2 linked regions of the Arabidopsis thaliana genome follow. Each later gene encodes a partner of the first gene's protein in a complex. Each region holds a gene or a part of one and is shown on either strand. Other genes may lie near its edges. A codon is read from its position in the direction of its gene.

Evidence for each region.
Region 2: the proteins of EDS1 (region 1) and ADR1 are in contact, whole or in part, in a cryo-EM structure (PDB 8ZW9), measured with the Arabidopsis thaliana proteins. Residues at the interface, in NP_190392.1 of Arabidopsis thaliana: Asn414 (codon at 1,386), Glu416 (codon at 1,380), Phe419 (codon at 1,371), Val423 (codon at 1,359); in NP_174620.2 of Arabidopsis thaliana: Phe780 (codon at 791), Thr781 (codon at 788), Val782 (codon at 785), Asp783 (codon at 782).

Annotation. Positions count from the first base shown.
Region 1 is NC_003074.8:17,754,800-17,759,956, forward strand, and holds EDS1 (alpha/beta-Hydrolases superfamily protein), read right to left. Parts: upstream 3,349-5,157; 5' UTR 2,894-3,348; coding exon 2,576-2,893; intron 2,500-2,575; coding exon 1,768-2,499; intron 1,672-1,767; coding exon 1,591-1,671; intron 1,495-1,590; coding exon 754-1,494; 3' UTR 530-753; downstream 1-529. Other genes in the region: AT3G48080 (alpha/beta-Hydrolases superfamily protein), read right to left, coding at 29-346; RR5 (response regulator 5), read right to left, coding at 4,313-4,487. UniProt on the Arabidopsis thaliana protein: Positive regulator of basal resistance and of effector-triggered immunity specifically mediated by TIR-NB-LRR (TNL) resistance proteins.
Region 2 is NC_003070.9:12,167,153-12,172,642, reverse strand, and holds ADR1 (Disease resistance protein (CC-NBS-LRR class) family), read right to left. Parts: upstream 3,876-5,490; 5' UTR 3,552-3,875; coding exon 2,912-3,551; intron 2,843-2,911; coding exon 2,508-2,842; intron 2,421-2,507; coding exon 2,065-2,420; intron 1,993-2,064; coding exon 1,787-1,992; intron 1,592-1,786; coding exon 765-1,591; 3' UTR 524-764; downstream 1-523.

The DNA of each region.
Region 1 (5,157 bases):
CGCATTTAAGAAGCTTTTGTTTACTTACAGAAGCATGAAATGAGGTTCTTGGACCAATGAGAACTTCAAGTGACTTGAGGAAAGCTTCGTTAACAGTAGTGTCAACGTCGTTGCCGATGCTTCTCATACAAGGAAATTGATTACGCTTCATCTTTATTTCTCCAAAGGGAGATGTATTCTCCGTAGCGAACAAATCTTCCGACGAGAAAGATGCTCGGAAGGCGAAAAAAACGGTTCCTCCTACTTCTTCTTTGAGATAGTGCTCCGTTTGGTTAGCTCCCTTCGACGCCATCCATGATATGGTGACTAGATCACCGTTGACTCCCGTAAGAGCTTCAAACGCCATTTCTCTTTTCTTGAGTGGACTTTCTTCTCTTTTTTCTTTTGAGTCGTCTTGATTCTTAGTCCTCCTACTCTGTTAATATAGTAGGAAGATGTAGACAGGAGTAATTACCCAAAATACCCCATCATGAGACCATTTCAATCTAAGGAAGGTTGTTTGTTACTGGTTCATGCTATTTGAGATGGCTTTAGGCTTTAGTAGAGTAACGTATATATTCTAAGATCACTGTAAAGTGGAAACCAAATTTGACATTAGAATAGAGAGCTATTACATTACTTCACAATGATCATACAACATGTTTCTTATTCTAAGATCATCATGAAGTGGAAACCAGATTGATAAACATTTCTTATTGCACAAATTAAGAGAAGCAAGTGTTCTAATAGCTTAAATACTCCACCACCTAAGGTTCAGGTATCTGTTATTTCATCCATCATATAGTCTCGCAGAGGAGAATGCGATTTGTGATTTTTGGGAAGCGTAATCCACCACTTTCTAAACGTTGAACCCTCCAGAAATATTTCCTTATCATCTACCTCCCCGTCTGTGATCCATTCTCCAAGCATCCCTTCTAATGTCTTAACTCTTACCTCAACTTCCTCGTATGGCTTTCCTTTGAGTTCTTCAACCTCAGCCCAAAAGCATGATCCGCACTCGGATCCCGAATTCTTTAGAGTCTCTTGAATTTCTTCTAGCTGTAACCCTAAGTTAAGACCATTTACCTTGTTCCAAAATACATCTTCTGCAATCATTCCGTTTGGCTTCAGTATATAATGTTCGTAGCCTCTCTGAGCATATATGTAGCGGGTTGGTCTTCCTCTTTTCATGTACGGCCCTGTGTCTTCGTTCTTTAAATGTCGATGGTAGTTTGCAATATCAAGAGGCTCAACTAATCTGCGGTATCGAGTTGCTAACTTGATCCAATCTATGTCCCCTTCGAACTCATCTGGAAGTTGACATTTCTTCATTAAACCAAGCACCTCGTCAAAAACACCGGCTAACTCAGCTCTCTTGACGTTTGCTTTGAAGTCATTCTCTTCATTTGAAACTTTGAAGGAATCATAATACCCATTTTTATGGGCTTGACACTTTGGCTTGTATTCATCTTCTATCCATGCTAGTTTCTTTAAAAACCTCTCTTGCTCGATCACCTAAAAACCACAGAACCAACAAGTTTTATGTTGTTAGACACAAACAGACGAAGCACGTACCTGCATTATTCATGAACAAGCTTATCAACCACAAACCTGAATAATCTTCTTCTGATTCTCTACTCGTTTCTTCTCTTCCTCTAATGCAGCTTGAACGTACTGTCTGCCTCTTGTGCTCTGCAGAAAAAGGAAACACTCTGAAGGGTTTAAATGATTGCAAGAATGGAGCTATGGAGCTGCACAGTATGAAAAGAGAGAGAGAGAGAGACTTACCACTCCAAGGTCATTGAGCGTAGACTCTATTGAGTTTTCTCCATCCAAATGATTAAACAACTTCTTTCCCATCGACTGTACCAGTTCCTCATAGCTATGATGATCTCTGATACTTCGAAATGGAATTAGAGACCATTCTTGTTCATCGCTGGCTTGAGAAGTGTAAAACAGCATTTGAAGAATGGCGTCCGAGTTGTTCACTGCAACCAATCTCTTCTCTGTAGAGAAAACAAAAGTACCGGCGGGTCTATAAGGACTTAGCTCAAGGAAACTAGAAAGGGTCTCTAAAAACGCCTCTGCGCTTCCAGTCAATTCACAAACAGCTTGGTTTGCAACAGTTGATGTGTCTCGCATCACCCTTGTGTAAAACTCTGTTATTCTCTGTTCACTCTCTTGGACGGAAGACTTTCTGGGATCCAATTGGGCAAGAACATGAGGCAAAGTTTCCTCTACAGACGCCTTTCGAGCAAGCATAATCCGAGGGACAATATCGAATCTTGAGACAAAGTTCACAAAGAACCGGCTCCATTTTTCTCTCCCAAGTGCGTGACTGAAGATAGAGTCACCAACCAAAGGAGCTCCAAATGTCACACAACGAGGCTCAAGGTAAACATTTGGATTGCGTATGAAGTATTTCTCCAAATACCAAACTGTTGCTAAGATTGCAGTTGCACCTCCTGAGGAATGTCCTGTGAACACTATCTGTTTTCTACTCCTCACAGCCATTTCCACCTGAAGAAGTAAAAGCATAAGAGACCAAAAAAGAAAAAAAAAGAAAAATATATTCGGATGTTTTCAATCTTCTTACAGAAGCTTGAAATGAGGTTCTTGGATCAATGATAGCTTCAAGATTCTTGAGGAAAGCTTCGTTAACAGTAGCTACATCACCTTTACCGATTTTCCTCATACAAGGAAACTGAACACGGTTCAACTTGATTTCTCCAAAGGAAGATTTATTGTCCGGATCGAAGAAATCTTTCTCTGAGAAAGATGGTTGGAAAGCGAAGATTACGACTGCTCCTGCTTCTTCCTTGTGATAGCGCTCGGTTAGGTAAGCTTGCTTCGAGGCTGACCATGATCTGGTGATTAGATCACCATTGATTCCGGTAAGAGCTTCAAACGCCATTGATCTATATCTATTCTCTTTTCTTTAGTGGACTTTCTTCTCTCTTTTTTCTTTTGAATCGTCTTGCTTCTTTAATCCGCTCCTACTCTGTTAATTTATGGGAAGATGTAGACAGGACTAATTAGTTACCCAAAATACCCCATCATGAGACCATTTCAATGCAAAAATGGGTTTTTTTTTTTGGAGTTGACTCTTTGGCTATTGGAGACTCATGAAGAAAGAAAAGCTAGGAATCTTAGCTTTCCACGTGTCGGTTTTACATTGGTGTATGGCTTTGTACATCCGACATGACTGGAGTTTCGCAGAAACTTTCATAAACATTCACATTTGGTCGGAAAGTTTTCTCTGTGTAATCTTTGCTTGGAAATTTTGTAGCTTGACTTTGGAGTCTTCGTCTCTTTAATATAGACTCCATCTTTTGGTTTGAGATGTCACTCTCGGTTGGGATTTCGCAGTAACTCAATGATATTCACTTTTTTGTCGGAAAACAATTTTGTTGTTTAATGAATGAGGAGATTTGTTCGCTTGGAGTTAAGTTTTTGTAGCTTGACTTGGGTTTTCAGATTTGGTCTCGTATAGAAGAAATCTACTACTTTAACTCTGTTTTGCTTATAAATCTTATCCGGAAAGTAAACCGGATAATCTACAAGATATGGAACCGGTTCGATTTCTCTCAGCTGAATATTAACCGAATTAACTAACTACACCTTCTTGCCTGGTCCGTTTTTGCGTTCGGCAAGACGCGTCACATTCGACTTTTACTTGTTTGATTATGAAGTTACATGAACCGGACTAGAAAAATTTAGTTTGTTTTTTTGGCTAAACCAAATTGCATAACCATATTTTGCTTTCAGATAGAATGAAAAAGCCTAGGAGACTAAATTAACAAAAGAAACAAAAAAAAGTCTAGGAGACTAGAATTTTCTTGGTCTTAATAAAACCCAACTTGGGGAAATTTCTACGAAAAGCCATGTAAAGTGTTCCAACCAACGCTTAAAATAACTAACTTATCTCGCTGGATTCGATTCATGTAGACAGCTTTATTTTAATTAGACAAAAGATTAGCTTGTCTTCGTGTAATGAACGGTACTAAACTACTAATCCATTCCTAAATCATTATTTAAGTAATCTTAACAAAAGAAATTCATATGTTAACTTCCAAAATAACACACCACCATTTTACATATCTCTCATGTAAAGAAAAAAAAAATGTATCTCTTCTCCTCTCTAATGAATCCAAGTCTACAATTTACATTTCTATCTTATAAAAACCCATCTTTGTCACTCTTGATCAGTCTTGGTTCTATCAGCAAAAGAAGCCGTAATGTCTCAAAAATTGTAAGCCGAAAGAATCAGGACATGCATGTGTGTGAATCTTTGAGCTTTTAAAGAACATATCGTACGTGGAATCTGATAAACTCAGATCTTTGCGCGTTTTAGCTGCGAGTAGATATCATTAGCTTCAAGCTCTCTCTTGTGCATAATATTCTTAAAAGCTCTTTCCTCAGCTTTCATTAAAGAATCTCTTAATCTCTTCACATCAGCTAATTTCACAGGCTTCAATAAGAAATCTTCAGCTCCTTCTTCAAGACATCTGAATAAATATAAGGAACCAAATGTTAGTGATCTAATTCCATAAAGTTTATAACTTTGGATACAGAAAATGGCCAGCTCATATATGATAATCATTAAACTTAATCTGGTAAAGAGGGTTTGGTTCCTTAGTAATAAGCAAAGGCATGTGAGGTGTCTATCACGAGGATTGGGATTTTATAAATGACCCTACCTAAGATTATGCAACCCAAACAATTAAAACATATATTATAAAGTTTTGGAGGGCCTAACATGTCACCGGCTTATATAGAATCAAATCTCAAGAGAAGATCTTGCTTAACTTATGATGGATTATTCTTTTCTAAATTTATGGCCACAAGATAAATTTTATTATTCCTAAGATCCATTTTAAAAATCATTTTAGGACCCACTAAAATAAACACCAAATCTCAGCTTGATCAAATATACAACCACCACCAAAGTTAACCCCATGATAGTTAAAAAGTAATCATATAATAACCTTTTCTATCATAACAAAATCTTGTGATTATACAACAATTTAATTTAGTCAATACATATCCTTTAACGGTAACTTTATCACAAATCCTAAATTAGTGTGATTACTTTAAAAAGTTTCCTAAACAAACAATACCCTCTAAATCTAATCATCCCCATCTCCTGAAGTAATAAATGCACAAAATCTACTATAT
Region 2 (5,490 bases), on another chromosome or scaffold:
ACAAAAAAGCGCTACAATATGTATCTGACCTATTATGACGGACGATGATAGAACGCTTCTAATAACGCTATAGTATAATTAAATAGCGGTTTTCGGACACTACAAATGCTCCATATTCTTGTAGTGAAATTTTGATAAATTTGGAGAAAACCTTAGAAGTAGAATAGTTTCTCTCAGTTCTATTTATTACACATTAGGCTTATTTATAAAACAATTCTTGACTTACATAGAAATATATGTAAAAACGATTTTGAAGAAGAAGGACAAAAAACAAACATGATATCCAATGAGAAGAAAAAACAATCAATATGTGAAAAGCCTAATGTGTAATCAATACTAGAGATTTGTAATCATTTGTTAGGAAAGCACAAAATAAACATGGAAAAGAAATTAATGTTGAGAGAAAAACAAATATGAATGGGATCAAAAGTAGAAAACTAGGGCATGACATGGGGTCAACTTAGAAAGTTTATACCAAAACATTAATAATTATTAGGTAATTTACCTTATAATTAAAAAAATTATAATGTTATGGGGTTAAATGATCCCCTCCTCCTTAATTGGCTCCGCTCCTAGATATCGCCATTAAAAACCAGTGCATTAACTTCATAAACAGAAAACAACTCTTCTTAAAGTTAAGATGGATAGCTAAAAATGATCTTATATATAGAGAGAAACATTCCAAACTTCAAATAACTCGCTCTAATTACTGCTGATCAATGATTAATACAAGGGGTTATCAAGAGTTTGAAGGAACAAGAAGCCTAATCGTCAAGCCAATCCACGGTGAAGCATTTTTTGGCGACTTCAATGCAAAGTTCAGGAACCACCTTCTTGACCATTTCCCACATAGACGAAGTCTCCTCATCGCAAATGACATGGCGTAGAGACACAAGTGCAGCTACAGAACTTGGTAAACCCAATAAACTGCATTCTCTCATGTCAATTTTCTCAAGACTCCCTAGCTTTCCAAACTTTTCAGGAAGAGAAACCAGGCTGACACACTGTGAAATGTCAACGTACTTTAGACATGGCAGCTCACAAACTTCGACCGGGAGGGATATCAGCTCGGGGCAGGCATATAACCTTAGACGTTCAAGGGACTGTACGTTACTCAAATTCTTGGGCAATTCAAGAATCCGTGGACAGTTGGTTATGCTGAGAGAGTTGAGAGAGGTTATTCCAAATATGGATTTTAGTTCCAAAAGATCATCACAGTGATCAATAGTGAGATCAGACAAGCTTGGGAATATTTTCGAGATGTCGAATGACGTCTGAACAAAGCTGTTCTTGACCTTACAAAAGATTAGATGTATCTTGTGCAGGTTTTTCAGTGGAATGGTGCAGCTGGTGAGTTCAGGGACATGTACCCTCTTGAGCCAGAGACTCCTCAGTTTGGCCAAATTGGCAAAGATGGAGAAGCCATGTAGACGCGCAGGAGACATGCCATTGTTGATAATCACGAGCACCCTGAGTCTACTCATCTTACCAATAAATGGTGGCAAGACGTAGTTGTCCGAAGAGAAGTTCAGTATTAAAACTTCTGCCTTAGGGAGGTCCATGTCAAACCAATTCATTTCATCCATTTCCCCTAAAGACACAAAAAAATCTATCAAACCTGATACGTGATAAGAGTTTTAGGTGTTTTGGTTTTATTTTAGTGGCTTTCTTATTTATCACGTTAAGAAAGTCTAGGATTACGAGTTCAAAGACTAAATCTTTGGCTCGTATCAACTTGAAGACTCTAGTCACTAACCAAATTCATTTAAAGTTAAAGAAGTCTTGCCTGTATGAAGGGAAACTATCTTGGCATCAAATGGCTCATCTTTATTCTTTTCCCATTCTCTTGGAAGCACTGGCTCTGTTTTTGGCATTAATAACCGCTCTCTCCTATTTACGTCCACACGATTGGACATATGAAGGGCTAGGTCTCTCAAAACATCGTGTTGCGTCACAAATACATCATAGTAGCCAATGTGCACATCGCCAAACCTGCAAATTTATGATATGATTAATCCCACTGAAGTGTTGGTACAAGAGACAAAGTCATAAAAGAGCGAATACCTCGGATTGTTCACTATAGTAAGGAGATTCTTGTCAGCTAAACGAAGAACAAAGGAAAACGCAGTTTCCTCGTCAATATCATGCCTCTCAACCCACACGCTCGTGAGAAGATCAAGAGGGATCTTCTTGTCTTCAGGGAAAGCACCCATATCCAAGAAACAGTCTCGGATTTTCGGGTCGAGGTTTTCTAGACTTTCTTCCATATGAGCAAACACTCTGCTCTCATGAGTTTCATCAGCAGCTTCTCCTCTTAATAACCTCTTCACTACGCCTTCCCAATATCTTTCAGGTTTGTTTTTTAACGAAGCACCAAGAACTTTCAAAGATAAAGGTAAACCTTTACACTCATCAACAACCTACCAAACAGAGTAACAATTTTAGTATTTGGAAGCAAAGTGTGTTTTTAGTTACAGATTCAAATATTTATAAAAAGGCATTAGTACCTGCTTCACCAAATATTTGTTGAATGGAGAAGGCGGGGACTTTTGTTCGAAAGCACAGAGACACAAAAGAGACATTGCTTCATCTTTCTTTAATAATTCCACATTGTAGGTGGTTCTAGGATCTGCAAGCTTGGACCGTGACACTACTAAAGTAGTGCTTCCACGAATTTTAGACATCAGCCTGTCCAAGGACTCCCTTGTCCAAACATCATCAAGAATCACTAGCTTCCGTTGATGAACTCCATCATAAAGAAATTCTCGTATACAAGACTCCAAATTCTCAAAATTCGGAGACCGTGACACAGTCAAAAACAAAACCTTATTCTTAAAGAGTCCTGCACAAAAATCTTGATTAGAACTCATGACCATCAACACAAAACAAAATTCAATAAAACTTCACAAACCTCGAACATCATCGTCCTTTGAAAGCTCTATTGCAAGAGTGGTTTTCCCTGAACCGCTCATTCCAGAGATCCCAAACAAATGTGTATCCGTAAACTTAAACATCATCTCCTTCACCTTTTTCTTCCCCAATTCCAATACCGTCTGAATCTCCGGATCGCTTACCGTCTCAATCTCCATCATAGTCTCCGGAAACGACAAAGAATCATTCCGCTCAGTCAACAGTCTATCCATATTCCTCTCAATCCTGTCACCATTGACCCGTAGATGACATACCTCAGCAAGAACAAAGAGCAAAATCTGGCTGTTGAGGAAACGAGATATTTGTTTCTCGAGATCCTTCATCTTATTCGCGTGGTACACATGTTTAAGGTTCCACCTATTGCATCTTAAAACCTTTTCACATAGCTTTCTTGCTTTCTCCAAGATCTCATAGAATACTCCCAGTTGAGTTTGGTGATGGTTACTCAGCTCCGCGCCACTGTATTGGATCTCCCTGATCGTTGGTTGAACGTCTCTGATCATCGTGATCAGTCGTTCGGCGATTCCTTTGCAACTGTAGACTGTGTTAGCTACTAGAGCGAGCAGCTTTAAGAGTTGCGTCGTGATGTCGCCGGCGAAAAGATCTATGAACGAAGCCATCGAGACCGATCTTGGAGTGTAAGACAGAAAAAAGAAAGTGAGATGGTTGAGTGGTAATAAGGGTTGATACGTTTTTAGATTAGAAAATAGCGAAGAAGACGAAGTTTCTTAGCAACTTCCAATAACATACGTTTTGTCGTTTAGTGTTTTAAAGTTTTGTTTCTGCGGTAACACATGTAATAGCTTTGTAATAGATTTCAGAGAATGTATGGATCTTATGGTTACGTATCAGTTTTTCACTTATTATCAAACAGATCGATTTAGTAGTTTTTTTTCGAATTCGATTATCTAGACAAACTCTAAATTACGATATTCCCTAATACGGCCATACGGGTTCAATCACTTTGGGAGTGTAATTGTTTAAAGTTAGCTAAATCCTATTTGGATTAATACCTCTAATCTTGTTTTTTTTGGTCGCTATCTCTATCTAATTTAACTAATTGGGAAAGAAAAACGATCCCATATGCAACCTTGTTTATAATTTTTTTTTCTTGTGATTATTTGGTGTTGATATGTGTATAAACTATATAGGGATTAGGGACTCGAACTTTTTCAATGTTTATTTTGTAGCTTTTTTTTTTTTTTTCCTTTTGACGTCGATTTGTAGATCTAATCATCAAAGATCACTTTACTCTTTTTACGCGTTTTGATTAATATTTTATATATTTCTTCAAATTACTTAATGGTATATATACACTAGTGTTGGTCCAGCTCCAATGGGGTTACAAGAACCGTATTCGCAGATGGGAAGCCGCATGTGTACTATACGGTGGCTGGAGAAGGCATGATGGTTCAACAGCCATTGCCTCAGCCTCAACCGCAGTACCAGGGAATAGTCAACCGGTTAGTACCATGTGTTGTGGAAAAAAAAAGGTGTTACCGTGTTAGGTAAGAATTGAGAAAACATTGGATGTTAAAAGACTTGCTTCCACACTAACTAATCCACATGACACATACTTGTCATATCATTGAGGGTGTGAGTCGTGTGACTAGTTGACTTTAATAGAAGAAAACAAAAAGAAAGGGAAAAAATTACATGTATTAGTCCAACAAAAGAAATTGGAAGAAAATTGTTTCTTCGAAAAATATCAAAAAGTAACTAAATCACATGAATTCTTCCATCTTCAAAGCAAATAAAAATTATTTTTCTTCCTGATGTGATTATTCTATTTTTCCATTTATTCTATATGTTTAACCAGTCACAGCCTTTTAATTAAATTTTACTTAGCGACAATCATTATATTGTCATTATCATTTTGATCATCTCAAGTCTTTGTCCTTATTATTTGTTGCCAAATTAATATGTCTCAATCCAGAAACATGGGTCCATGTAAAAGCTATCATGTCTTTGTCATTAGGATTCAAATTGATATCCATCTTCCCCTTAATTGTTCCCAAATTTGTCTTATCAATTTTATTTCTTGTCTTTACCTCATCAATGGATATGATGTCAGCCAGATTGGTTCTAATTCGGATTTTTTCCTCCAAGTTCCGCATTTAACTGAGTTGGTTAGAAATAAGCACACTTTCCCAGTGTTTGCATAAATAGTGTTTATAAAGACATACCAAAAACCTAATTAAAAAGAAAACAATTCCACTCGGATAGACTAAACCAATTAAAAACCATAAAAAAAACTAACTAATAAAAAAAAAACCAAAAGCACTCGGTTCTTATATTCAGATTATTCTAGTAACTCGTTAATCCATCAAAGTTTATGAAAACGCTATTAAACACATACAATAGCGTTTATCTTGAGTTAAAATGTCTATTTTTTCTTGTAGTACGCGACTTAACGATTTCGTGAAGTCAACATAAGTTAGCGATTAAATTGATAAGTCAATAAAAGTTGGGTATATATTTCATCGAAGAAAGTTGAGGTTTGTATTCAACGAAATTTGAAGGTTGACGCATTAAATGCTTAGTTTTAATTTGGTCTAA